Linked DNA regions of Anolis sagrei. The protein of the gene in region 1 binds, or shares a complex with, the protein of each later gene. Links are inferred from orthologs where the notes say so. Each region holds a gene or a part of one and is shown in the gene's direction. Other genes may lie near its edges.

Region 1 (7,553 bases):
AGTTGCTGGGATTTATAGTTCACCTACAATCAGGCATGTAGCCAGGGCAGGGGGCTCGGGGGGCTTCAGCCCCCGCCCGAAATTTTCATGGTGGTTCGCGAAAAGGCCTTACTGGTGCATTATTTCAACTGTTATGTTTATTCATATCATGATCTGATCACCATACTCAATATATCCCATATGCATAGGGGTATTGGGGTAATGATACAAAAGGTTTGCTAGGCTAGACCCTCTTTTACTCAGACTCAGCCCCCCCCCGAAACTCACCCCCCGAAACCCCCCCTGAAAAAAAATCAGCCCCCCCCCCCCCCGAAACGAAATCCTGGCTACGGGCCTGCCTACAATCAATCAATCAGTGATTTATTACGGTCTTTGACCAGCACAGTATAAAATGGGGCACAGGTGCCCAAGGAAGGGAATCGCAGTTCCCAAGTAGGTCAGATAAAAAGCAGATTAAAAACATGTTATAAAAGAGACAGATTAAAAAGCAGACTAAACTTACAGTTTAAAGTGCATGTATGAATCTAAAATAGCGGGGCGGCTAATAACAAATATCAGACAACTGGGAAGCTCTAAAAAGGGATGAGAGGGGAGCATTTACAGCATTTCAGTTATTACAAATCATTCTAACTATATTCCCGGCAGGAAGTTGCCTGGTGGAGTCGGTCATCAGCCGTCTAATGTTAATTGCTGCTGCACAGAACTTGGCAACACTGTAGGTTGTCACAGAGCAAGAGTCCGAGAGCAACAAGGAGGTGTAATATCTTTCAGTGCGCCCTGGATGTTTTAAAAGCCATGGAGTGATGAAATTAGCTCTAATGTCTCTATAGAATACACATTGGAGGAGCACATGTTCAGTTGTTTCAATGTAGCCAGAATCACACGGGCAGTCTCTCCTGGGCAGGGGTCTTCCAGTACCTCCCCTCCAGTACTGCCGATGGAAGGGCATGGCTTCTTGCCAAAGTGAAAGCTCTTCGGTGTTTAGGCACCTCCAGGTTTGCTAAGTAAGCCCTGGGAGCGGTGAGATATCTGTTATCTTCGCTAATGGTGAATGCTGGAGAGCAGGCTAAGTCTGATTGTCGCTCTATATCCAGGATCCGTTGTCTAATAAGATCCTTGGCTTGGTCCCATCCCATACCTAGCAGTTGTCCTTGAGGGAAGCCTAGAATTGTGATTTTGATTGCCACTGCCTTATTCCATGTAGACTGAAATTCATCTCTCAGAGTTAACGGAGCAAGGCCACATGTTGAGAGAGACAGATGCAGCCAATAATTGAGGGTGGCTGTCCACACTCTTGCCTCCACTGTCATGACGCCTGCCTCTAATCGCAGGGTGGCGTTTGAGACACATCTGGGGACCTGCATCGCCGATCTTAGAAATTTTGATTGTACTTGCTCCAGAGGGGCATAGTTTGAGAAGGGACCGAGTTGGGCTCCATACATCATTTGTGCTATGGATTTTGCCTCAAAGAGCTTAAGTGCTGCTGGTATGTAGTGGCCTCCTCCCGTTTTGAGAAACTTTAGGATAGCATATGAGCTCTTTTGCGCTGCATCTGCTACGTAATCCACATGTACTTTCTTGTTTCCAGTGCAGTGATAGAATACTCCCAGGTATTTAAAGCTTGAGACCTGGAAGGGTTTGGTGGGCATTGACCTTGAACTGAAACAATGATGGATCTGGACCAAACTTGGCACAAATATTCCATATGCCCAAATGTGACAACAGATCGAGTTTGGGGTAAATAGACCTTGACATTTGGGAGCTGTAGTTGCTGGGATTTATAGTTCAGCTACAATCAAAGAGCATTCTGAAGTGACATTTGGGAGCTGTAGACAACCAACAGAAAATACTGCAAGGGTTTGGTGCAGTATTTTGAGTTTAGGAGTTGTAGTTCACCTACATCTAGAGAGCACTGTGGACTCAAATAATGATGGATCTGGACCAAACTTGGCATGAATATTCCATATGCCCGAATATGAATAAAGATGGAGTTTGAGGAAAAGAGACCCTGACATTTGGGAGCTGTCGTTACTGGGATTTATAGTTCACCTACAATCAAAGAGCATTCTGAACCCCGTCAACGACAGAATTGGGGCAAACTTCCCACACAGAGCCCCCATGACCAACAGAAAATACTTAAGGCCATCCAGTCCAACTCCCTTCACCAGGGCAAGAAAATGTAATCAAAGCCTTCCTGACAAAGAGCCATCCAGCCATACATACATACATAGATAGATATGATTCAGATACACATAGATATAGTATCATAGATTTGAAAGGGGTCCCTAAAGAAGGACAATTATATTTTGCCTTTTTCCTGAGTAGTCCGAACAGACAATCTCCACATCAACCCTGACAAAGAAACAGCAAGAGTTACTGTTTACCCACAAGTATAAAGAAATTACAGACATAAGAAACCAACACTTTCTCATTACCTTATTTTCCAGATCACCATGGTTGTCCCCTGCCATGCATTGCTGTGGCCCAGTCTGGTGATCTGGAAAATAGGACTGAAGACTGACAAGTTGCAGGTTCGAATCCGGTGATATCGCAGTTGAGCTCCCTCTGTCAGTTCCAGCTCCCCTTGCGGGGACATGAGAGAAAACTCCCACAAGGATGGTAAAAACATCAAAACATTTGGGTGTCCCCTGGGCAATGTCCTTGCAGACAGCCAATTCTCTCACACCAGAAGCAACTTGCAGTTTCTCAAGTCTCTCCTGACACGACAAAAAAAACAACTAATATAATGCATGCATAAAGTATATATTATATATATATTATATATAATATAATGTGTAAACATATGCAATGTGTGCATAACATATATTTACACATTATTATATATATATATGATATTAAGTTGGGGAAAATGGAAGGAAAAAGGAAGAGTGGATGATGGGAATTGCAGTATCTTCACTCATTTCTTCAGACCATTGACCCACTCTACATCTTGGTGTGGTTTGTGGGACAATGGATCATGGATGATGGGACTTTCAGTACCTTCACTCACTTCCTGAGACCATTGCGACCCACACCAATGACTGATTGAACTTGGCATACAGAGCCCCCGTGACCCATTCCACATCCTGGTGCAGTTTGGAGGAGGATGGACCATGGATGATGGGACTTGCATATGGGAGTTTTGGTTCACCTGCACCCACTGAACCAAGCTGACATTGTATCTAGGCTAAACTTGGAGCACAGACAAACAATGCCTTTCTCAAATAACACGGGCACCGCCGGGTCCCCAAGCTAGTATGAAAATATAACATATATAATGTGTGTGTATATAGATATATATATACATACATTTTTGACTTTGTTGTACTCCGCCTTGAGCCATCAGGAGAGGCAGGTAATAAATAACAATTTATTATTATTATTATTATTTGAAACACAACAAGATGAGTCCACAGCAGACACTCTGCTGGCTGTTGTATTGCATCACACGTCGGACACTTCCCAAGTGTCTAGGACTGTGTGATGTATCAATGAATAATGTGTGCAGATCCCAGTAAGGTGGCCTTTTGCAGCTGGCAGCTGGTAATTTTATCAGTGCTGATTGTCTTTAAGTGCAGGCCAAGACCTTAGGCATTGTACCCTGTGTGCCGATCACCACTGAGACCACCTTTACTGTCTTGTGCCATTATTATTATTATTATTATTAGAAACACAACAAGATGAGTCCACACCAGACACTCTTCTGGCTATTGTATAGGATCACACGTCGGACACTTCCCAAGTGTCTAGATCTGTGTGATGTATCGGCGAATAATGCATGCAGATCCCAGTAAGGTGGCCTTCCGCAGCTGGCAGATGGTAATCTTGTCAGCGCCGATTGTGTTTAAGTGCAGGCCAAGGTCTTTAGGCACTGCACCCAGTGTGCCGATCACCACTGGGACCACCTTTACTAGCTTTGCGCCATAGTCTTTGCAGTTCCATTTTAATAATAATAATAATAACAATAATAATAACAATAATAATAACAATAATAATGTGGCCTTTTGCAGCTAGCAGATGGTAATTTTGTCAGCACCAATTGTGTTTAAGTGCAGGACAAATGCAGTGCAAGTCTTTAGGCACTGCACCCAGTGTGCCGATCACCACTGGGACAACCTTGACTGGCTTGTGCCAGAGTCTTTGCAGTTCGATCTTATTTATTTATTATTTAATAATAATAATAATAATAATAATAATAATAATAATATAATTTAGGGGATAAAAGTGAAGATAAACCTATGCAAAGATGATCCTGGCAGAAATAGAAAAACGAAAAGAAAGGGAAATGTAATAGGATACCAACGGGGATATACATGTAATCCACCAAAAAGATCACAACTCGAAATACAGCACAAACGACCATTCCGCTGCCCAACAGAAGTGACTTTCCGCTCCACTTCCGCCCAAAGAAGGGTTCGGACTCAGAGCAGCGACCAATCAGGACACAAAGGAGCAGCGACCAATCAGGACACAAAGGAGCAGCGACCAATCAGGACTCAGAGCAGCAGCCAATCAGCGCTCAGGCCGGGAGGGGCAATAGACGAAGCGCGTAATTGGCTGCTGGGCTGATTTGAAGGTGGAAGTGGCGCCGGCGGAAGCGGAAGTCGTGGCTGTGGAGCCTGGAGAGTAAGATGGTAAGAGCCTACGAGGCCTATGGGCCTGAAAACTGTTGTTTGTTTGTTTGTTTGTTTGTATCCCTCTTGTTCTCTCCTCAAGGAGACTCTAAGCAGCTTAAATTCAGTGGCCATGGCTCAATGCTATGCCATTCTGGGATTTGCAGCTTGGTGAGGCATCAATAGACTGTTCAAGGCCTTGTCAAACGGCAGCCCACATGACTCCATAGCATTGAACCAAGGCAGTTAAAGTGGACCCATTCTACAGAAGAGATGCACCCCATAGGTTATCATTTACCATTGCTGGAATCATAGAATCCTAGAGTTGGAAGAGATCTGGTGGGTCATCCAGTCCAAGCCCATTCTGCCAAGAAGCAGGAAAATTGCATTCAAAGCATCCCCGACAGATGTCCATCCAGCCTCTGCTTAAAAACCTCCAAAGAAGGAGCCTCCACCACACTCTGGGGCAGATTAAGGGTTCCACTGCTAAACAGCACTCACAGTCAGGAAGTTCAACTCCACTGGCTACCGATCTGCTACCGGGCTCAATTCAAAGTGCTGGCGTTGGCCTTTAAAACCCTAAACGGTTCCAGCCCAAGCTACCTATCCGACCGCATCTCTGCCTATGAACCCACCAGGACTTTGAGATGTTCCGGGGAGGCCCTGCTCTCAATCCCGCCTGCTTCTCAAGCATGGCTGGCGGGGACGAGAGATAGGGCCTTCTCGGTGGTGGCTCCTCGGCTGTGGAACGCCCTTCCTACGGACATTAGACTAGCACCATCTCTAAATGGTATTCTGCAAAAAAGTGAAGATCTGGCTGTTTGAGCAGGCGTTTGAATAATTAGTGCAATGATTGGTTAATGAACACTGGAATGGAACAATAGATGACGAATCTGGAACATGTTTTTGATGATGAGACGATAGTGAATGGGTATTGTAGTAACTGTTTATTAATTGTGTAATGTGTTAGGTTGTTAACTGTTTTTATACTGTAGCACTGAATTTTTGCTGTTTGTATTTGTTGTGAACCGCTGTGAGTCGCCTTCGGGCTGAGAACAGCGGTATATAAGTAAGGTAAATAAATAAATATGTTCAGGTGTAATCTCCTTTCTTTCCTGTAGTTTGAACCCATTGTTTTCCATCCTAGTCTCCAGGGCAGCAGAAAACAAGCTTGCCCCCTCCACCCTATGACTTCCCCTCACATATTTATACATGTCTCCTCTCCTCTTCTGAAAACTAAACATGCCAAGCTCTGTAAGCCGCTCTTCATAGGGCTTGTTCTCCAGACCCTTGATCATTTTAGTCACCCTCCTCTGGAAACATTCCAGAGGAAGCTTTGGTCTTCTAACACTTTTGTCTTTAAAGAAGGAATCGTAAACAGGCAGCAATTGCAATGGCTGAATTACATGGACAGCGCTTTCACTGCTTCGCATGACATTCAGCAACAAATACTTTTCTTTGGTTTCAGGGTTTTGAAAATGGCAACTTTCATTAGATTGGAGGGCACGTTCAGACCCCGGGGAAATACGGTTACCTCAGATCTTAAAAGGCAGGCTTGGCCCTGTCAGGAAGGGAGTAGGGGGCTCCTTTATGGCAGGAGAAAGTGGAGGGGGGCATCTGTATACCTGGAATCATCATGGGGAGCAGATAGAGTGGAAATCATAAAATAATAGAGTGGGAAGAGACCATAGGAGGGCGACTAAAATGATCAAGGGTCTGGAGAACAAGCCCTATGAGGAGCGGCTTAAGGAGCTGGGCATGTTTAGCCTGAAGAAGAGAAGGCTGAGAGGAGATACGATAGCCATGTATAAATATGTGAGAGGAAGCCACAGGGAGGAGGGAGCAAGCTTGTTTTCTGCTTCCTTGGAGACTAGGACGCGGAACAATGGCTTCAAACTACAAGAGAGAAGATTCCATCTAAACATGAGGAAGAACTTCCAGACTTTGAGAGCCGTTCAGCAGTGGAACTCTCTGCTACGGAGTGTGGTGGAGGCTCCTTCTTTGGAAGCTTTTAAATAGGGGCTGGATGGCCATCTGTCAGGGGTGATTTGAATGCAATATTCCTGCTTCTTGGCAGGGGGTTGGACTGGATGGTCCATGAGGTTTCTTCCAACTCTTTAATTCTATGATTCTATATAGTCCATCTAGTCAAAACCCCTACCATGCAGGAAAAGCACAGTCAAAGTAAACCTGACAGATGTGCATCCAGTCTCTGTTTAAAAGTTTCCATGGAAGGAGCTTCCACCACACTTCGAGGCAGAGAGTCCTACTGTTGAACAGCTTGTACGGTCAGGAAGTTCTTCCTAATGTTCTTCTTTCTTGTAATTTGAACCCATTGTCCCAAGCCCTAGTTTCCAGGGTAGCAGAAAGGAAGCCTGCTCCCTCTTCCTTATGATATCCTTTCACGTATTTATACGTGGCTCTCATGTCACCTTTCAACCTTCTTTTCTGCAGGCTAAACAGACCCAGTCCTTGAAGACGCTCGTTAGAGGGATTATTCATGGTCTCCAGATCTTTGATAATTTTAGTTGCCCTCTTCCTCTGGACACCTTCCAGCTTAGAGTCAATATCTCTTTTAACCTGTGGTGCACAGAATTTGTCAGGTAAAGAGATTTGACCAAAACAGAAGAGAGGGGCACCATGACTTCCCTTGATCTAGATCAGTGGTTCTCAATCTGTAGGTCCCCAGATGTTTTGTCCTTCAACACCTAGAAATCATAACAGCTGGTAAACCTGCTGGGATTTCTGGGAGTTGTAGGCCAAAGCACCTGGGGACCCACAGGTTGAGAACCACTGATCTAGACACTATACTCCTTTGATGCAGCCCAAAACCCATAGGCTTTTTTAGCTGCTGCAGTTATTTATTTATTTATTTATTATGTTTATATCCAGCGCTTCTCACCCCAAGAGGGGGACTCAGAGCGGCCTTACAAAAAGGCA
Region 2 (7,156 bases), on another chromosome or scaffold:
ACTTTGTAAGTACCTTTAAATGTGTTTTAACATGTGATGTTTAATGGATATATTTGCAACAAATGTTGATGTATATAATAAGTGCTAAGTTTATAACTTTGGAAGTAACTTCAAATGTATTTCAGTATATGATGTTCAATATATATATTTGCAGCAAATTTTGATGTATATAATAATTTTAGTCCACTAGAGGAAGGCCTGGAGAAAGAACAAAACCGGTCGTGGATGGCTGATTCATATGCAACTCAACATAAGAAGACACGACGTTGATACCATTTCAAAGTGACTGTACAAAAACTCATATAATATTGTTTGTGATCACTGTAAACTTGAACAGTATAACAAGTTTATACAATTATACATTGAATTCTATTTTCTATTTTCTATACAAGGGGGATATTTGTTGAGCATACTAACTCAGGAACCCATTCATATTGCACTCTAACTAAAGGTGAGCTGTGACCAGCAGTGCTGTGACCAGCAGTGCTGCAAAATTCAAAGAGGCACAAATGGAGGGTGAAAGGGAGAAACATGCCCAAAGGAAGGCGTGTCAAGCCAACCCTGATTGGACCGCCTCCCATCTGGAAACTCACTGCAGAAGAACATGTGGATCAAGAACTGGGCTCCACAGCCACCTACGGATCCACCGCCAAGACACCACATCTGGAAGACAATCATCCTCGAGCTATGAGGGATTGCCTAAGGATCAGAAAAGCCGAAGTATCACTGTCTCAGTCACCCAAGCAGTCAATTTTGGAGGATTCTGGCCCTCTTGTCAAGAGATACCTGTCACCTGTACGCAGATGATGTCCAACTCTATCACTCCTTCCCTCCTGCAACTAAGGAGGCTGTTCAGATCCTGAACCGATGCTTGGCCGCTATGATGATCTGGATGAGGGCAAACAAATTGAAACTGAATCCAGACAAGACAGAGGTCCTCCTGGTCAGTCGTAAGGCCGAACAGGGCATAGGATTACATAGCCTGTGTTGGATGGGGTTGCACTCCCCCTGAAGATGCAAGTTTGCAGCTTTGGAGTGATCCTGGACTCATCGCTGAGCCTGGAACCCCAGGTTTCGGCGGTGACCAGGGGAGCATTTGCACAGTTAAAGCTTGTGCGCCAGCTGCGCCCATCCCTTGGGAAGTCTGATCTGGCTACAGTGGTCCACGCTCTGGTTACATCCCATATAGACTACTGCAACACACTCTATGTGGGGTTGCTTTTGGAGACTGTCCGGAAGCTTTGAATGGTCCAACGAATGGCAGCCAGATTGCTAACAGGTGCAGCGCTCAGGAAGCATACAACTCCTCTGTTGCGCCAGCTCCACTGGCTGCAAGTTTGCTACCGGACACAATTGAGAGTGCTGGCTTTAGCCTATAAAGCCCTGAACGGTTCTGTCCCAACTTACATGTCCGAACGCATCTCCCCTTATGAACCAGGACCTTAAGATTGTCTGGGGAGGTCCAGCTCTCGTTACCGCCTTCATCACAAGTACATCTGGCGGAGACAAGACAGGGACATCTCGGCGGTGGCCGCTCAGCAGTGGAACGCCCTCCCTATAGATATTAGATCGGCCACCTCCCTTTTAACATTCCAGAAAATGTTAAAAGGGCTTTTTGAACAAGCGTTTCCAAGTGCAGAGTAACTGACATAGAAAAATGGAAAGACGACAATGAGACTGGACAACGTTTTTAACAAGGCGACACTAAGAATTTATATTTTATTGATATGTTTAATTTTTATTATATGTCTTGTTTTTAATTGTATTTATGATATTGTAAGCATTGAATTTTACCCTGTTAACTGGCTTGAGTCGCCTTCGGGCTGAGAAAGGCGGTATACAAATACAGTAAGTAAATAAATAATAAATACCCGATCTATATTTTGTAGCAATAGAAGTCAAAAGTGTGAGAGAAATAACACTCCTGAGATACCTGTCCAGATTGAAAGGAATCATACTCTTGAGATACCTGTTTTAGTAATACTCCTGAGACACCTGTCCAGATTGAAAGAAACAATACTCCTGAGATACCTGTCTTAAGCAATACTCCCAAATCTTGCCCTGAGGGTGGAAAAGGAATGAAGGGGGAGGGAACTGAGAAGCAGAGGAATCCAATGGCAGCCTTTGGGAGAAGGAGCTGGAGGCGCAGACTTGGGGAAAGGGAACTTGTGATGGGGAAGCGAGAGACCCTCCCTCCCTGCCTGCCTCCTGCTCACCTGGCAGCCCTTCTTGTGGTGGAAGCCGACCACGGCGATATGCAGCACGGGCCCCTTGGAGGCTCGGGGCGGGAGGTCGCCCTGCGCTCGGCCCCTCCGCTCCATGAAGGGAAGGAGAGCCGCCTGCCTTCCTCCACTCTTGACAGGCTCCTTCCCCACTCTCCGGATGAGCGGCGCGAGGCGGCCACTGAGCATGCGCCAAGAAGGAGGGCGCACGCGCAGTGGCGCCTACCGAAGCCCTCGCGCCGAGAGCTCAGGAAACCGGAAGAGAGCGGACTTCAGTCACCGCCGAGGGCCGGGAGGCCGAGCCAGTCCCGAGGAGGGAGGGAGGGAGAGGACAGAACGAGGAACCTGGGCGTGAAGGTCTCTAGTCACAAAGTCCAATAGCCGAGGGAAGTTACTGGCCGCCTTGGCCAAATTAGGGCCACAGGAAGAAGAAAGTTTCCTGACCTGTTACCTCAGGCTGGTTCCTCTGGGCAACCAGTTGCCAGGGCTCTGCTCTTAAAGGGACAGCACCCTCAGAACGCCATAGAAAGAAAGTCCTGCTACTATTATTTATTTACTACATTTATATGCTGCCCTTCTCACCCTGCAGGGGACTCAGAGCGGCTTACAAGCTATTTATACATACAATATATTATGTTATTATATATTATATATTAAGCTGGGGTGAAAATTGCTGGAAAAAACATTAACAACCTCAGATATGCAGATGACACCACTCTGATGGCCGAAAGCGAGGAGGAGCTGAGGAGCCTAGTGATCAAGGTGAAAGAAGAAAGCGCAAAAGCCGGGTTGCAGCTAAACATTAAAAAACCCAAGATTATGGCAACAAGAATGATTGACAACTAGAAAATAGAGGGAGAAAATGTGGAGGCCGTGACAGACTTTGTATTTCTAGGTGCAAAGATTACTGCAGATGCAGACTGCAGCCAGGTTCGAATCTGGGGAGCGGCATGAGTTTCTGCTGTCAGCCCCAGCTTCTGCCAACCTAGCAGTTTGAAAACATGCAAATGTGAGTAGATCAATAGGTACTGCTCTGGCGGGAAGGTAACGACGCTTCATGCAATTATGCCAGCCATATGACCTTGGAGGTGTCTACGGACAACGCCGCTCTTCGGCTTAGAAATGGAGATGAGCAACATACCCCAGAGTTGGACACGACTGGACTACATATCAGGGGAAAACCTTTAACTTTACCTAAAGTAGCTTTAGTTACTATTTCTCATTTCCCCCTATGTACGTCCTGTATGACATCACTTTAAACTGCCATGGGTCAGCACTAAGGGAGGTGAAAGACTTTGTGAAACTATAACTCCCATGATTTCCATAGCACTGAGCCATAGAAGTTCAAATGAATCCTACATCCACTCTGTAGGATTCATTAATCTTACAGAGTGGATGCACCTACATTAGGAAGAACTTCCTGACTGAGAGCAGTTCAGCAGTGGAACTCTCTGCCCCGGAGTGTGGTGGAGGCTCATTCTTTGGAGGTTTTTAAACAGAGGCTGGATGGCCATCTGTGAGAGGTGCTTTGAAGGCAATATTCCTGCTTCTTGGCAGGGGGTTGGACTGGATGGCCCATGAGGTCTCTTCCAACTCTGTGATTCTATGAATACACAGGAAGCAATCGTATTCGCAGTGTGTATATTCCTGCTGTCATTGCAACTTGTCGTGGTGGGTGCCGTACAATACAAAATAGCTTGAGATCTGCGTTTCGTTTAGAGTTGGATCCCGCTATAAACCATACACCAATCGCTCAGTGAAGCATCCTCATGTGACTAGATGAGCTCGTCCCCGCCTCCTCTTCCTCCCCGCTGTTGAAACCGTTCGACTGCTCGCTCATCGATTGGTTGGACCTGTCTGAGCGGTGCCGCCGGGTCGATTCTTTGTGGCGTCACAGCCCCCGTGATCCTTATTTAGCCAATAGGCTCGAAGCAGCGCCGCGCGGAGGGGGTGGAATTGATTAGTTGGGTCTGGCGCAAAGATGGCGGCCAACGCGACGACCAACCCGTCTCAGCTTCTACCTCTTGGTAACAAACTGAGGGAAACGCGACGAGGAGGAAGGGGAAGGGGAAGCGTGGCGTTTGGGAGAAGTGGGGAGCTGTCATATTTGTCTGGCAAATTAAAAAGATAAATGACTGAAGTGGTAAATGCTCTTTCCCCGCTTCCTTGGCCATTAGCTTCAGGCGAAACCTATGTTTGAGGCCCTGCGTCAGGGAAGTTCTGTCAGTTTTCTTGGAAGTGGGATGAAGGAACTCGAGAAGCAGCTTTGTTCTATTTTGTTCTCCTAATATTTTTAATTATTTTTTTTACAACAAAAACACAAAAAGGAGCAATACTTGTAAATACAGGGTGAGGCAGCATAACTTCCTTTTTTTCAAAACTTAATAAAACCCATTGTATGAATCAGAATTTTTTTTAAATCATCATCATTATCATTTAATAACTTATTAATCACCTAGAGAATGCTCTAGGCTAAATTACAAAAGATAAAATACATACATACAAAAATTAAAAATCAACAGAGATCGAATGCTCTAGTAAAAAGCCAGGTCTTAAGTGCGAGAGTAAAAGGCCCTAAGTCACGCATGGCTCTCATGTAGGGTGGCAAGGAATTCCACAAGGCAGGGGCAGAAATAGAAAAAGCCCTGCGTCTGGTCCTTTCCAAGTGCACTTCTCTAGGACCCGGTATATGGAGTAAGTCACGTTGGGCTGGTTGTTGCGACCTCCGATGATGGGAGAAGGAGAGGCGGTCCCTAAGGTACGATGGACCCTGGCTGTAAAGAGTTTTAAAGGTCAGAACTAGCATCTTATACAGGCCACGGTACTCAGTTGGAAGCCAATGTAAATGTTGCTGCACTGGTGTTATATGGTATTTCATGGGCGTTCTTGTGAGTAACCTGGCTGCCGCGTTCTGAACAATACGAAGCTTTCGGGTCGTAGACATCGGAAGGCCCACCTACAGGGCGTTGCAATAGTCCAGCGTAGACGTGACCGTGGCATGGATGACAGTTGCCAGAGCCTCGTCAGATAGGTAGGGTGCCAGTTGCCTCGCTTGTCGTAGATGGAAAAAGGCCTGTTTCCTGGCAGCAGTGACCTGAGCTTCCATTGTCAGCTGTGAATCCAGGACAACACCTAAGCTCTTAACAGTGATCGATGGAGATAGGGCAGCACCATCGAAGGTGGGTAATGGAGTCAGACCTGCCAGGCGACCATGCCAGAGAATCTCAGTCTTCGCTGGGTTCATCTTCAGTCTGTTAGCACGTAGCCAGTTTGACAGAGCTTCCAGACATAGGGTGAAATTGTCTGGAATTGACGTTGCTCCAAGCTCCGCATACCTAAAGTTTTGTTTTACATAGTTTTGAAGATCAAATTAGGTAGGTGACGTCCCCCATTCGCCATACACTGAGTAAAGCAATTTCTGGTGTTTGTCATGACTTGGCAGCATAGCAGGCATTATGTTGGCAGTTTCTTCCTGGATGTTGGTCTTCAAATCTTGTAGGGTCCTTAGACGGTTCGCATAAACACGGGATTAGAAAAAAAATCACAAGGGGCCAAATCTGGAGAGCTGGCCGGCCACTCCAAATCCGCTCGAAAAGTAGGCCTCAATGGCAAAAGTATGCTCCTCACTGTTCCAATGCATGATGGACTGAACTGTGTCAGGACAAAACTTTATACTCCCGCTTCTCGAATGAGACCACTAGCGCTCCACTTCGTCTTCAGCCGACTAAATTGAGCACATTTTTTAAAAAGGAAGTTATGCTGCCTCACCCTGTACATAAAACATGACATACTTAGAGTATGACAACCCGAAGAACATACATTTCTACCTACAACTCTACAACATTAGTTTTCAAAGTGGATTTCCAACATCTCTTTTTTTCAGTTTCTCGATCAATTTAATTGTTTTTCTTCCACTTTATATCCAGCCAATTGTTTACTTTAGTTTTCTTTAACATTTGCAAATGAATATCCCAACATTTTATGTCACCAAACCTATATATAAAGTCTTTCATTCTCCCCAGATATATCTTGATAATATGGTTTCCACTGGGTTGCTGTGAGTTTTTCGGGCTGTTCCAGTAGTATTCTGCAAGTCTATTATTGGCAAACAAAAGATATCTCCAGACTACAACACTGACTGACTCTGCAGTTGCAAGGCTAGTAAAGGTAAAGGTTTCATAAAACAGTCGTATCCGACTCTGCGTGGTGGTGCACATCTCCCTTTCTAAGCCAAAAAGCCTCTGTTGTCCATAAACACCTCCAAGGTCATGAGGCCAGCATCATTGCATGGAGCACTGTTACCTTCCCACAGAAGAGGTATCTATGATATACTCACATTTGCATGTTTTCGAACTGCTAGATTGGCAGAAGCTGGGCCTAACAGTGGAAGCTTACCATGCTCCCCGTATTTGAACCACCAACCTTTTGGTGAGCAAATTCCGCAGCTTGGTGGTTTAACCCATTGAACCACCGGGGGGGGGGGGGTGCAAGGCTACTCAATTCTACTCAGTCTTGCTAATTGCAAAACTTGCTTCAAACAGACAAGGTCCCCCCCCCCCCCCAACCTTGGACAGTTCACAGATATATACACTCTACATGCCTCACTTCCAACAGTCCTCAGAACAAACCTCTGAAGATGCAAACCACAGATGCAGGCAAAACGTCAGGAAAGAATGCTACTGGAACATCACAGCAGCCCAGTGATTTCAGCCATGAAAGCCTTTGACAACACATGGTTTCTATTCTAAGATTGTGCCCAATGTCTTATCTATCAACAACATTGTTAAATTAGTCTGTTTCTATTATTTATTGCATCTTGACTGTCCAATTTTCTATAGTTGGTATTTCTGTCATTTTTCACCTTGGAACATATACAATTCTTGTTGCTGTTAACATTTATTGCAGCATTCTCTCATGTTCCTTTTTATTTGATT
Region 3 (7,428 bases), on another chromosome or scaffold:
AAACAAGTTCAATTTGAGTTCACGTGGTGGAAACATAGCAGATAACACTATGAAACAAAATTAGAACACTTTTATGTTTCTAGTTTGAAAATGTTATTTCCTGTTAAATTGTGTGGTACTTACTTTGGAAGTAGTTGTTATATTCCGGAAACTTCGCTTTTGTGTTTGCCACAAACTATGTTGATTTGGTTGATACTCTGTGAGATATTCACCGAAAAACTATAGCAAAATGTGCTGCAGGTTGTCACGCAAACACAACGTTTATGCAGTTTAATAAACATTTTCTGTGGTATTATGATAGAACCAATTAGGAAATGATATGTATAACCCAAGAACAAAAATCATGTTACATAGTGTAATTCATCATTTTATCAGTGGATTTTAACTTATATTTTAACTCTGTGTATCTTGTTGTATGTTTTTAATAGTGTTTTATCTCTTGTTTTAATGATGTTGTATCCCACCTCAAGCCACAGGGAGACGCGGACAGTTTTTGGGCAGACAGATTGTAAATAGTGATATCACTCTGCTATATATTTACTGTGTATATGCCTTTGATTGATGGCAATCCCATACATTTTTGGCAACAACTTTTTGGCAAAGCTTTTTAGGCAAGAAATATTCAGAGGTAATTTGAAATATAGCCTATATTGGTGGTTTCATCCAAGACAGTAAAGGAGATTCCACCTGAACATTAGGAAGAACTTCCTAACTGTTCAGCAGTGGAACTCTCTGTCCCAGAGTGTGGTGGAGGCTCCTTCTTTGGAGGCTTTTAAACAGAGGCTGGATGGTCATCTGCCAGGAGTGCTTTGAATGCAGTTTTCCTGCTTCTTGGCAGGGAGTTGGACTGGATGGCCTTTGAGGTCTCTTCCAACTCTATGGTTCTATGATGCTATTTTTCTACTTATCTTCCAACATCAGACAGGATCTTATATGCCTTTATTGTACTTTCCTTACAAAAAAAAACCTGCAGTTTTTCTTAACAGCTCTTCTTTAGAAGGCTCAGAATGTTATTTTTCTTTAATATAGAAATATATTTAATATAGGAGACTTCTACAATATTTCCCTGCAGATGCTACAACCCTCTACCATTTGTCATCTCTCCCTCTTAAGTATCTTTTCCATCAATGTACCATCCCCTTATGGCTGCACCTGAGCATTGCAGCATCAGGCTCACGGGCTGCCAATGTAGGTTGTTTTGAAAAAGAAGAGTGTATCGGAAAAGTGGTAGGGGTGGGGTTTTGTTTTTTGTTTGTTTTGTTTTAGTTAAAATCCCTTTAATATTTTATGTTGAATAATGTTACTACCAAGTCTGGTCCTGATCCATCAAGCCATGTAGGAGCCTTTAAGGTACAAACAAACAAACATGCTTCACGTATATCTTTACTAACACATTGTTTTATAGATAACTTACCAGTTCTAGTAAAGCAGAAGAGTTCACTTGCAATAACACTATGTAACAAAATTAGAAAAAATGTTCTATTCCTGGTCTGAAAGTGTTATTTTCTACTTAATTATGTAGTGCTTTCTTTGAAAGTAGTTATACTCTAGTAACTTTGTTTTTGTGGCTGCCACAAGCTATATTGAATTGGTTGAGACTTGAGATATTCAAGGAGCCACGGCGGCACAATGGGTTAAACCCTTGTGCTGCTGAACTGCTGATCTGAAAGTTGGTAGTTCGAATCTATGAGACGGGTGAGCTCTCGTTTGTCAGCTCTGGCTCCTGACAACCTAGCAGTTCGAAAACATGGAAATTTGAGTAAATAGGGACTGCTTCGGTGGGAAAAAGCAAAGAGACTCTTGCTGGCTACACAACCAGGAGGTGACAACGCAGGCTCCATGGCCTGAAAATTGAGAAAAGCACCTCCCCAGAGATGAGTACTGCCTTCTGAAACCGGAAAAATGAAAGGAGAAGCCTCTGTCTTTGTGTTTGTGTGTCTCATTGTATTTGATTGTAAAGGCATTGTATGTTTGCCTATATATGCTGTAATCCGCTCTGAGTCCCCTAGGGGAGAAGGACAGAATACAAATAAAGTGTATTATTATTATTATTATTATGCATTGAAAAACTAGAGCAAAATGTGCTGCAGGATATCCTGCAAAGACAAAGTTTTTGCAGTTTAATAAACTTTTCCATGTTTTTAAAAATGATATAATTATAAAGTAAAGAACAAAACTCTGAAAACAGGGGAATTCCAGACATGAAACAAACAAGGGCAGCTAACACCCCCCAACAAAGGATTCCCCCAGGCAGGAAGCAGCCAAACATTGAAGCTGCAAGGCTTTGAAACGTTTGCTCCATCCATGTTCAACATCTACACAAATGACCAGCCACTGCCAGAAGGGACAGAGAGTTTCATCTATGCTGATGATCGTGCCATTACCACTCAAGCAGGGAGCTTTGAAATGGTTGAAAAGAAGCTCTCCGAAGCTCTAGGTGCTCTTACTGCCTATTACAGGGAAAACCAGCTGATCCCCAATCCATCTAAAACACAGACATGTGCCTTTCACCTTAAGAACAGACAAGCATCCCGAGCTCTAAGGATTACCTGGGAAGGAATCCCACTGGAGCATTGCAGCACACCCAAATACCTGGGAGTCACTTTGGACGTGCTCTGACCTACAAGAAGCACTGCCTGAACATCAAGCAAAAAGTGGGCGCTAGAAACAACATCATACGAAAGCTGACTGGCACAACCTGGGGATCACAACCAGACACAGTGAAGACATCTGCCCTTGCGCTATGCTACTCTGCTGCTGAGTATGCATGCCCAGTGTGGAACACATCTCACCACACTAAAACAGTAGATGTGGCTCTTAATGAGACATGCCGCATTATCACAGGGTGTCTGCGTCCCACACCACTGGAGAAATTACACTGCTTAGCCGGCATTGCACCACCTGACATCCGCTGGGAAGTAGCAGCCAATAGTGAAAGGACCAAGGCAGTGACATCTCCAGCTCATCCCCTGTTTGGGTATCAGCCAGCACGTCAACGACTTAAATCAAGACATAATTTTCTTAGATCTACAGAGACACTCGCTGGAACACCTCAGCAAGCGAGAGTCCAAAAGTGGTAGGCCCAAACCCAGCACCTCAATCCATGGGTGATACCAGATGAGAGACTCCCCCCTGGCACACAGAGGACTGGGCAACTTGGAAGGCGCTGAACAGACTGCGCTCTGGCACCACGAGATGCAGAGCCAACCTTCAGAAATGGGGCTACAAAGTGGAATCCACGGGATGCGAGTGCGGAGAGGAGCAAACCACTGACCACTTGCTGCAATGCAACCTGAGCCCTGCCACATGCACGATGGAGGACCTTCTTGCGGCAACACCAGAGGCACTCCAAGTGGACAGATACTGGTCAAAGGACATTTAACCAACTACCAAGTTTGCAAAATCTGTGGGTTTTTTTAAAATCTGTGTGTTTGTTTTCCTCTGTTAGAAATGTAATATAATGGTATGGTTGCTGATGACACGATAAATAAATTTGAAATGCTATTAAGGTGGTTAATTGCAACATTCACACTTGCCTCAAACAGAGAAGAGTTCTTTCTCCCACCAGGGCCATTCCACAGACGTATAAACCTCCCTTGCTTAGTTTCCAATATACCTCACAACCTCTGAGAATGCCTGCCATAGATATAGGAGAAAGGTCAGGAGAGAATGCTTCTGGAAAATGCCCGGAAAACTCACAGCAACCCTATGTTTATTTTGTTATTTCCACAAATACATTATGAAGAGAGCCTTTAGAACAGACCATTGTCATCAAGGGCATATGAGGGGAAAACGAATGTATTTACTTAAGTGTCTATCTACACTGCAGAGTTAATGCAGTTTGATACCACTTTAACCACCATGGTTCAGTACTACCATGAAATCATGAGAATTAATAATAATAACAACACTTTATTTATATTGTAGCTTTGCCTTCTCTTTAGCCTTCTGTGTTCAAGAGGGCCCCATCAAACTACAAATCCCATTATTCCATACCATGGCAGTTAAAGCGGAACAACAGCGCGACAACAGTGCAATGCAATAGGGCCATTTAAGCCTCTCCTATCTCTTTCTCACACCAAAGACTCGGGTGGCTTTCTCAGCTTAACATTCCTTTATCAGGCAGGGTGAGTCTCCCCACTCTTCCTTGCATGTACTTGCCCCGCTTCCTGCTACAGATCTTCAAGACCTTGCCCCGCTTCCCGATCTTGGGTGCTCCAGGGGTTTTGGACTTCAACTCCCAGAAGCCTCAGCCAGCGTGGCCAACACTCAGGAATTCTGGGAAGCGAAGTCCAAAGAAATCTGAAGGAGCAAAGTCTTCTTAGCCCCGCCCACCGCGCGCTCTGAGCTTAACCGGAAATGGGCGAATCGGAGAAGGGCTTCCGGAAACTTCCTTTGGTGACGTAACCCCGACGTCACTTTAGATTAGAGGGAGCCGGCCTGCGCCTCGGTTGGAGAGGTGTGCGTGTAGTCGCGACGGTGGGGAAGATCCGTCGAAACCTTCTCTGCTTTTGGGTGAGTTGGAAGAGGATTGCTGACGGGGCCCGGATGTTGGGCCTACTGCGCCCCGTGCTATTTGGACTGCGATTGAGGGACTGATCAGGACCTTCAGCCTCTTGGGGTCACGTGCTTGGTATTCCTCGACGCCATTGGCTGTATTCGTGGCTTTACAGTGAGAGCGTGTACACTTGCCATGGGCAAACCTGGGGCCTCCCTCCAGGTGTTTTGGACTTTTGAACTTCAAGGGAAAAGGCCCTTTCCTTTTCCCCCTCAGCTCCTTAACTAATTTAAAATAGTGGTCTAAAATGGTCTAATTTAAAATATTTAAATTAACATTAGAACTGCACAACAACAGAGAGGAAACAAACAAGGACATCTAATCACCTCTCAACAAAAGATTACTCCAGGCGCTGCCAGGCAATCAAATGCTAATCAAGGTGGTCAGTTGAAACATTCACACCTAGCTCCAGCAGACAAGAGTCCTTTGTCCCACCCTGGTCATTCCACAGATATATAAACCCTTTATCCCTAGTTCCAACAGACCTCACTACCTCTGAGGAAGATCGCCATAGATGCAGGCGAAACGTCAGGAGAAATGCCTCTAGAACATGGCCATATAGCCCGAAAAAACCTACAACAACCCAGTGATTCCGGCCATGAAAGCCTTCGACAATACATTAATTTAAAAAAGTTTGCAGCAGCCACAAAAGCGAAGGTTCTGGAATGGAACAACTACTTTCAAAGCAAGTACCGCACAATTAAACAGGAAATTGCACTTTCTCAAACTAGGAACAGAACATTTTTCAAATTTCGTTACATAGTGTTATTGATTGCTCTTTCCAAGTTGCAGCCAGACATGGAGACACATGGTGCTCACTGTTTGTGTTTGTGTTTGTTTTTTTTTAAATTAAGCTTCACCACTGAATGGTTGGTTTCATTTTTGGCAACATTGTTTGTTGACCATGACACCTTGTTTTCCTAACATTATGTTTCCTTTACGGATAATAACGTACTTCAAAAATGAAACAAAACGAGGGGAAACTATTAAGGATGGGTCAGTTGGGCTCCCCTGATGTTTTTGTTCTACCATAGGTTAGTGAAGGGGGCTAAAGGCAGCCACATTTCAACCACAAATTAGAAAATGAACCACAAATGACTAATTCTTTCTTTTGAACAAATAGTTAGGTTTATGGGCCAAGAAATAAAATAGTATTTTTTAGAAAAAAGAAACCAGGTGCTGTACAGGCTGTCACCAAATGAACAAGATAGGTTCTGTAGGTTTGTTCTTAAATTGAATTTGTATTTCAGAATTTTGAAACAGGTACATTTTTGAAGTGTAACTCGCTTTCTCTCTCTCTCTCTCTCTCTCTCTCTCTATATATATATATATACTAGCCATCCATGCCACACGTTGCTGTGGCCCAGTCTTGGTGATCTGGAAAATAAAGTAATGAGAAAGTATTGGTTTCTAATATATGTAATTTTTTTATGCTTGAGGGTAAACAGTATTTCTTCTTGTTTCTTAGTGTTGATGTAGAGCAGTGGTTCTCAACCTGGGGTCCCCAGATGTTTTTGCCCTACAACTCCCAGAAATCCCAGCCAGTTTAGCAGCTGTTAGGATTTCTGGGAGTTGAAGACCAAAAACATCTGGGGACCCCAGGTTGAGAACCACTGATGTAGATATTGTCTGGTTTGCCTACTCTGGAACATGCAACATGTAATTGTCCTTCTTTAGGGTTCCCTTTTATATCTATGATACTATATTTGTCATATATATATATATACATATGTGTGTGTGTATGTGTGAATCATATCTATCTATATCTATTGCTGGATGGCTCTTTGTCAGGAGGGCTTTATGTTTTCTTGCCCTGGTGAAGTGAGTTGGATTGGATGGCCTTAAAGCAGCATTTCTCAACCTGGGGGTTGGGACCCCTGGGGTGGGTCATGAGGGGGTGTCAGAGGGGTCACCAAAACTATCAGAAAAAAAGTATTTTCTGGGGGTTCTGTGTGGAAAGTTTGGTTCAATTTTATCGTTGGTGGGGTTCAGAATGCTCTGATTGTAAGTGAACTATAAATCCCAGCAACTACAACTCCCAAATGTCAAGGTCTATTTTCCCAAACTTCCATCTGTGTTCATATTTGTGCATATTGAGTATTCGTGTCAAGTTTGGTCCAGATCCATCATTGTTTGAGTCCACAGTGCTCTCTGGGTGTAGGTAAACTATAACTCCAAAACTCAAGGTCAATTCCCACCAAACCCGTCTACTGTTTTCTGTTGATCTTTTAAGTCCTGTGTGCTAAGTTTGGTTCAATTCCATCATTGGTGGAGTTCGGAATGCTCTTTGATGGTAGGCGAACTATAAATCCCAGCAACTACAACTCCCAAATGAAAAAAAAATCATTTTTTTAGTGATGGTCACTCCTTGGGTTAGGTGTCTTGTGGCCAAATTTGGCGACAATTCGCCCAGTGGTTTTTGAGTTATGATAATCCCACAAACGAACATTACATTTTTATTTATATAGATATGAGCAAGCTTTGGATAGCACCCCTGTGGTGTTTGTTTTTCTGTCTGCCCCCCCTCCTCCCCCGGTTCAGGAGCTCTCACCTCAATTTCTGTCCCTGTGATCATTGCATTTTGACAAATGTAGCATGTCTCGATAAAAAAACTACTTAATGAACAGGCTTGATTCCTTAAAAGCAGCACACTATGTAAGTTAGTTCATATGAAGTTTAAGGCCCCTTCCACACAGCTGAATAAAATTCCACATTTTCTGCTTTGAACTGAGATATATGGCAGTGTAGACTCAGATAACCCAGTTCAAAGCAGATTTGTGGGATTTTCTACCTTTATATTCTGGATTATATGACTATGGAAGGGCCCTAAGAAGAAAGTTTGAAGGGCACCTAAGGGCTGACATTGCTAC
Region 4 (7,482 bases), on another chromosome or scaffold:
TAATCTTACTTCCAGCATCATTTAGATGGAAATCCCCCAATCTTACTTCCAGCATCTCCAGCAGCCTGCACCTCGTCATTCATTAAACGCCTGATGGCAGAGGTATATTTTTACCTGTCTATTTAGACTGTTCTAAACAATCCTGGGAAAGAAGAAACTGCTATTTCTAAAAACAAGGAATGATGAAAGCTGCTGAACCTTGGAAACTAAAAATGCAGCACTCCCACATGCTGTGTCTTTATGGCTTGTTTTTAGATAGAGTAGATGAGAACATAAACTATAACTGAGAAAAATGACATATAATGTCAGTTTATACATTTCATTTCAAGCCACCAAGTGATAGGAAATCAAGCATCCTATGCAAATGTCTGAAGGCTAATAGCACAATGAAGACTAAACATGCAACTGCAACCACCTGGGTCTACTTCCTCCATTATTGCTTATGTAAGGTTTCAAACTGTACAGTCCTTGGGGCAGAATACTCTGGGTAGTATAAAATACAGGAATATTAATATTCGTACAAGTTTTAAAGCTGACTCCAATTTCTGACAAGCCTATCCTAGGGTTATTACCTTAATACTATTACTGTAATTAAAATATGTAGTGATCAAATAGCCAATAACAAAAACTTTTATTCACAATATTTTTGTATCATCTTTCAAGGCAAAGCACTGGAGCTCAAGCTGCACTGTAGTAAGTGGTTTGCTCTTCTCCACACTGAGCCCTGCCACATGAACCTTCTTACAGCGATACCAGAGGCACTCCAAGGGCCCTTCTACACAGCCCTATATCCCAGAATATCAAGGCAGAAAATCCCATAATATCTGCTTTGAACTGGGTTATCTGACTCCACGCTCAGATTATGTGGGATTTTCTGTCTTGATATTCTGGGATATAGGGCTGTGGAGAAGGGCCCCAAGTGGCCTGCTTCTGGTCAAAGGACATTTAGTATAATGCAAAGTTTTAAACTTTGTTTGTGTTTTTGAATACATGATAACTGTAACCTCAAGTTGCTTCTGACATGACAAATAAATAAATAAATAAATAAATAAGGCAAAGCAACTTGTGCGTACATGTCTTCAAGTCACCCGTTGCCGAATGGCAACCCCATCAATTTAATGGGGTTTTCTTAAGCGAAGAAGACTCAGAACCCTTCCACAATGCCCCTATATCTCAGGATTATATGATTATCCCAGATTATTTGGCAGTGGAGACTCATATAATCCAGTTTAAAGCAGATAATCTGGGATCAGAACTTGGGATATAGGGCAGTGCAGAAGAGGCCTCAGAGATGGCTTTGTCAGTTCCTTTCTTTGAAATATAACCTGTAGCAGCTAGCATTCATTGGGGTGAAGATATACAAATATTTCACACTGCTTAGTTTCCAAGAACATGAGGGATTCTTGAATGCAGTTTTAGATAGGAAAATGTTCAGCATGTTTTAAGGGGCCTATGGCACTGGCTGTTAAGAATTGTGGGAGTTGTATTCCAAAACATCTGAAGGGCCAAAGTTTGCCCATGTCTGGTCTGGAAGATAAATTTTTTTGAAAACAACGCACTCCAAAATGGTTCAACAAAAGCTACTGTCTGTTGCCTTTTCTCTTCTTGATCAAGCTGTTTAGAAAAAAGCAAAAAGAAAAGCTCGATTTTTCTTCTCTGAAACATTTTGTCATTTTCCTCATCTGAAACTTTTTGCTTAGTCTAACAGCCTCTTCTTATACAGCAAGTTTTCCTTATGTAGTTGCTGGAAGCAACTGGGCGAAAGTCTCTTCTGTTCACGTGCCTGTTGCATAAAGCAGCAGAGCATGGAATGCTGAAGACATTCACACATCAAACGCTTCCGCTGAGTCTTTTGGAAAGCCGATTCTGGAAAAGGAGGGGTGCATTTCATCCTGGAAGATTAATAAATGCTCATTCCATAGGAAGCCAAAATCATTTAAAAGGTGGAGACGGATAATCTCTGTTGTTTCCTTTCGTTCGGTTTTGTACAGAGTTATGCAATGGAATCCTGGCCAGAGAGTGCCAAAAGCTGTAAATGGTTATTGATACGCTCTCAGGCCCCTTCCACACAGTTGAATAAAATCCTACACTTTCTGTTTTCCATACAGCCATGAATATCGAGGTAGAGAATCCCACCATATCTGCTTTGAACTGAGTTATTTGAGTCCACACTGAAATATAACGCAGTTCAAAGCAGATGTGGGGTTTCATACAGCTGTATGGAAGGGGCCGCAGATGGGGTCTTACACTGTAGAATAAATGCGGTTCCACTCTGCTATGGAAAGTTGCAGTTGGGTGAAGTACCAGGACTGGGTTGTTGTAGGTTTCTTGGGCTATGTGGCCATGTTCTAGAAGCATTCTCTCCTGACATTTTGCCTACATTTTTGGCAGGCATCCTCAGTGCTTGTGAGATGCAGGCAAAATATCAGGAGAGAATGCTCCTAGAACATGGCCATATAGCCTGAAAAACCTACAACAACTCAGTGATTCCGGTTATGAAAGTATTTGACAATACATTTTCCCATATATATTTATGGATTTTGTGCAGGAAAACGTCCCAGTGGATTGCACTCTGTTTCTGGTTAGTCACAACCTCTGAGGACGCTTGCTGGTATTGTATTGTCAAAGGCTTTCATGGCCGGAATCACTGGGTTATTGTAGGTTTTTCGGGCTATATGGCCATGTTCTAGAAGCATTCTCTCCTGACGTTTCACCTGAATCTGTGGCAGGCATCCTCAGGGGTTGTGACTAACCAGAAACAGAGTGCAATCCACTGGGACGTTCTCCTGCACAAAATCCATAAATATATATATATGGGAAAATGTTCAAATACTTTCATAGCCAGAATCACTGAGTTGTTGTAGGTTTTTCAGGCTATAAGGCTATGTTCTAGAAGCATTCTCTCCTGACGTTTCACCTGCATCTCACAACCTCTGAGGATGCCTGCCACAGATGCAGGCAAAACATCAGGAGAGAATATAGCCATATAGCCCGAAAAACCTACAACAACCCAGTGATTCTGGCCATGAAAGCCTTAGACCAGGGGTCCTCAAACTTTTTAAACAGACGGCCAGGTCATAGTCCCTCAAACTGTTGGAGGGCCGGATTATAATTTGAAAAAAAAAATGAATGAATTCCTATGCACACTGCACATATCTTGTAGTGCAAAAAAAAAATTAAAAACAATACAATAATTAAAATGAACAATCTTAACAAATATAATTTTATTAGTATTTCAATGGGAAATGTGGGCCTGCCTTTGGCTGATAAGATAGGATTGTTATTGTTGTTATTGTTGTTGTGTGCTTTTGAGTCATTATAGACTTAGGTTGACCCTGAGCGAGGGCCGGGTAAATGACCTTGGAGGGCCGCATCCGGCCCCCGGGCCTTAGTTTGAGGACCCCTGCCTTAGACAATACAATACCAGGACTCTTTGGCAGAGAAGGCCAAATCCCTTAAAGCGACAGGGCTCTCGATCCCATAGCTTGAGCCATGGCAGTGCCAAACTTCATTCTACATTTTTGTTTTTTGTCTTGTCAGGAGCGACTTGAGAAACTGCAAGTCGCTTCTGGTGTGAGAGAATTGGTCTTCTGCAAGGACGTTGCCCAGGGAATGCCCAAGAGATGATTTGATGTTCTTATCATCCTTGTGGGAGGCTTCTCTCATGTCCCCGTATGAGGAGCTGGAGCTGATAGAGGGAGCTCATCCGCCTCTCCCCGGATTCGAACCTGCGACCTGTCGGTCTTCAGTCCTGCCGGCACAGGGGTTTAACCCACTGCGCCACCGGGGGCTCCTTCTACATTCTACAGTGTGTCAGGGGCATTCTGTGTATCTATCCCCTCCCTCCCTCCCTCCATCACGGCCTTCATGGCTCTTTCGGGGTCTCACCGCCTGGCTTCCCGTCCCCGCGGGGCCTCTTGCCGGCGCCCTGCAGCGAGGGGCGGCCCTTGCGCTTGCTGCTGTCGCCCATCGCTGGCGGCTCCTTCGGGGGCTTCCTTCCCGCATGGGGAAAACAATGGAGACAGAACGCGAGCGCGCCACTGGCCACTAGGGGGCGTGCCGGCGCAGCCAGAGATGGAGGAGGAAGAGGAGGATCTAAGTTGGCTTCCTAGGCCTTGGCAAACTTGGGCCCTCCAGGCGTTTTGGACTTCAACTCTCACCATTCCTCCCAGCCTCAGGCCCCTTCCTTTTGCCTCTCAGCCGCTTAAGCGGCTGAGAGGCAAAAGGAAGGGGCCTGAGGCTGGGAGGAATGGTGAGAGTTGAAGTCCAAAACGCTCGGAGGGCCCAAGTTTGCCCAATCCCTCTTTTTCCCCCTAGAACTCCAACTTCCATAATCCTCAACACCCTTGGGCCATGATGAGGGATTCTGGGAAATTGAGTCCGAAAGCACTACTATATAGAAGCCAAGCTCTGTGGAAACGGACGCGACCCGGAAGTGAGCGCCTGTGAGAGTGCCTCTAAAACAAGTCTAGAGCGCCTGCCGCTAACACAGCGGACCGGGCATAAAATACCGCGAGAAGAGACTCGAACCGCCTTTGAAAAAATGGCGGACGAGGTTGATCAGGTGGGTGACCGCGTTATCTCCTGCGTCTCTTTTGGGGAGGAAATGAAAGGGAGAAGGGGGGCTGATTTTAACATTTATTTATTTATTTACGACATTTATATGCCGCCCTTCTCACCCCGAAGGGGACTCAGAGCAGCTTACAAGGGATATATACATACAATGGCCGGAATCACTGGGTTGTTGTAGGTTTTTTCGGGCTGTATAGCCATGGTCTAGAGCAGTGGTTCTCAACCTGGGGTCCCCAGATGTTTTTGGCCTTCAACTCCCAGAAATCCTAACAGCTGGTAAACTGGCTGTGATTTCTGGGAGTTGTAGGCCAAAAACATCTGGGGACCCCAGGTTGAGAACCACTGGTCTAGAGGCATTCTCTCCTGACGTTTCGCCTGCATCTATGGCAAGCATCCTCAGAGGTATATTATATTATATATTATAGTATTAACATAGTACCACATCAGTATTAAATATTACTATATTGTACTATACCATTATATTGTAATGTTATTAGTAATATTACATGTAATATAAATATATAATTATTAAAATATCATATTATATTGTATTACATTATAATATTATAAATATTATATGTATATACAATATACAGTGGGTTAAAGTGCTGAGCTGCTGAGCTTCTCGACTGAAAGGTCGCAGATTCATGGAGTGGCGTGAGCTTCTGCTGTCAGCCCCAGTTTCAGCTAACCCAACAGTTCGAAAACATGCAAATGTGAGTAGATCAGTACATACCGCTCCAGCGGGAAAGTAACGGCGCTCCATGCAGTCATGCTGACCACATGACCTTGGATGTGTCTATGGACAACGTCAGCTCTTTGGCTTAGAAATGGAGATTAGCACCACACCCCAGATCAGACACAACTGGACTTAATGTCAGGGGAAAACCTTTACCTTTACCTATATGTATATACAATATATTATATTACATTGCATTATATTGTATTATTAGAATAGCACAGGAAACAAGGTGGAACTGTCCCCTGGCCCCCTCTCTCTTCACTCTGGCCCAGAGCAGCAGTTGGTGCTGCAGGGAGAGGTCCCCGACAGATGACATATCAGGAGGAGGATGGAACTGTCCCAATTCCTAATGTTATCCCAATTCCTAATGTAATGCCTTATTTTGCATGGAGTTCATTTTGGAGAGCAAGTCTTGTCATAAGGTACATGTTCATCCTTCTGAATCCAAGTGTATATACACTGCAGAATTGATGCAGGAGTGTGGTTTCTCAGTGAATTTTCTATAGAAGCCAAGGTGACTAAACCAAGGCTGCATTTACACTGTAAAATGGATGTAGTTTGACACCACATAATGGCTGAATGTTATGGCATCCTGAGAGGTGTAGTTTTAGCCGCCTCTGCCAAAGATCGATGTGCCTCATCAAACTGCAAATCCAAGGATTCCATTGGATTGAGCCAAGGTAGTGAAAGTCGAATTGCATTAATTCTGCAGTATAGATACACCCAGACGTTATCATACTTGATATGTATCAGGAGAAGACTTGACTCACTAGAAAAGACAATAATGTGTTGTCGGAGGCTTTCATACCAGAATCACTGGATTGTTTGTGAGTTTTTTGGTTTGGAAAATGGCATTCACAACCATTTGCAGATTATACTATAAGAGTTATACAATATAGTAATATACAATACAGATATTGTAAGATGCTAATAATATAATGTATTGTGTGTGTGTATGTATGTTGTTGTTCATTCGTTCAGTCATCTCCGACTCTTCGTGACCTCATGGACCAGCCCACGCCAGAGCTCCCTGTCGGCCGTCACCACCCCCAGCTCCTTCAAGGTCAGTCCACTCACTTCAAGGATGCCATCCATCCATCTTGCCCTTGGTCGGCCCCTCTTCCTTTTACCTTCCACTTTCCCCAGCATAATTGTCTTCTCCAGGCTTTGCTGTCTCCTCATGATGTGGCCAAAGTACTTCAACTTTGTCTCTAGTATCCTTCCCTCCAATGAGCAGTCGGGCCCCATTTCCTGGAGGATGGACTGGTTGGATCTTCTTGCAGTCCACGGCACTCTCAGAACTTTCCTCCAACACCACAGTTCAAAAGCATCTATCTTCCTTCGCTCAGCCTTCCCTAAGGTCCAGCTCTCACATCCGTAGGTTACTATCTTGTAAGCTGCTCTGAGGTTCTCTTCAGGGTGAGAAGGGTGGCATATAAATGTCATAAATAAATAAATAAGAGCCAAAAACCCATTTGAGTAGAATCTTCTCAAATAGTATACAACCAAATATAGTATGTGTCAATGTCTTTTATTATGTTTTTTTTACTCCAATGGTTTTATTGTTTTAGTATATTTTATTGTTAAATGTTTTTAATTATGTTACTTGTAACCTTTGTTTATGTTGGGCTTGATCCCCCTGTAAGCCGCCTCAACTTCCCTTGGGGAGATTGTGATGGGATATAAGAATAAAGTTGTTGTTATTATTATTATTATTATTATTATTATTATTATGTCTTCAGTTGTAGGCTTTGAAAAAAAATGCTTTACTCACAGCCTTCATGTTCAGCATAACACAGGTACACAGCTTATCAGTCCAATTTCAGATATATTTGAGATAGTTTCTATGTGCAGATGACACAAGGCTTCTTTCTTTCAACAACAGCAGGCAAGTGTTGGTCTGAGTCTAAGAAGAAATCTAAAATGGAGTCTGAGGTCTGAACAGTCTCAGATCAGATCATGTGGTGTGCAGCCCCTCCCACAACCTCTCATGAAACATAGAGCAAAAGAAGCTACATATCAGAACAGGCATACAAAACAGTAAGAAAACAGAATATATTAACAGATTACTAGAGGAGGCTTGAAGAAGGCTGTAATTTCCAACATTTGGGCAGTATGGTCATGTTCCAGTAGCATTTTCTCTAGACATTTTGCTTGCATCTGTGGCA

Evidence for each region.
Region 2: LSM4 (region 1) and LSM5 share a complex: the UniProt entries of both Homo sapiens proteins name them as parts of the precatalytic spliceosome. The link is inferred for Anolis sagrei from reciprocal best matches to the Homo sapiens genes LSM4 and LSM5.
Region 3: LSM4 (region 1) and TXNL4A share a complex: the UniProt entries of both Homo sapiens proteins name them as parts of the precatalytic spliceosome. The link is inferred for Anolis sagrei from reciprocal best matches to the Homo sapiens genes LSM4 and TXNL4A.
Region 4: LSM4 (region 1) and LSM3 share a complex: the UniProt entries of both Homo sapiens proteins name them as parts of the precatalytic spliceosome. The link is inferred for Anolis sagrei from reciprocal best matches to the Homo sapiens genes LSM4 and LSM3.

The regions. Positions count from the first base shown.
Region 1 is NC_090034.1:57,732,734-57,740,286, forward strand, and holds the start of LSM4 (U6 snRNA-associated Sm-like protein LSm4), read left to right. Parts: upstream 1-4,546; 5' UTR 4,547-4,631; coding exon 4,632-4,634; intron 4,635-7,553. UniProt on the Homo sapiens protein: Plays a role in pre-mRNA splicing as component of the U4/U6-U5 tri-snRNP complex that is involved in spliceosome assembly, and as component of the precatalytic spliceosome (spliceosome B complex).
Region 2 is NC_090026.1:72,054,769-72,061,924, forward strand, and holds the start of LSM5 (U6 snRNA-associated Sm-like protein LSm5), read left to right. Parts: upstream 1-4,151; 5' UTR 4,152-4,203; coding exon 4,204-4,249; intron 4,250-7,156. Other genes in the region: late secretory pathway protein AVL9 homolog, read right to left, coding at 2,217-2,411. UniProt on the Homo sapiens protein: Plays a role in pre-mRNA splicing as component of the U4/U6-U5 tri-snRNP complex that is involved in spliceosome assembly, and as component of the precatalytic spliceosome (spliceosome B complex).
Region 3 is NC_090024.1:76,520,875-76,528,302, reverse strand, and holds the start of TXNL4A (thioredoxin-like protein 4A), read left to right. Parts: upstream 1-4,407; 5' UTR 4,408-4,515; intron 4,516-7,428. Other genes in the region: probable 2-ketogluconate reductase, read right to left, coding at 3,997-3,999. UniProt on the Homo sapiens protein: Plays a role in pre-mRNA splicing as component of the U5 snRNP and U4/U6-U5 tri-snRNP complexes that are involved in spliceosome assembly, and as component of the precatalytic spliceosome (spliceosome B complex).
Region 4 is NC_090022.1:52,142,600-52,150,081, reverse strand, and holds the start of LSM3 (U6 snRNA-associated Sm-like protein LSm3), read left to right. Parts: upstream 1-4,462; 5' UTR 4,463-4,543; coding exon 4,544-4,564; intron 4,565-7,482. Other genes in the region: XPC (DNA repair protein complementing XP-C cells), read right to left, coding at 3,889-3,970. UniProt on the Homo sapiens protein: Plays a role in pre-mRNA splicing as component of the U4/U6-U5 tri-snRNP complex that is involved in spliceosome assembly, and as component of the precatalytic spliceosome (spliceosome B complex).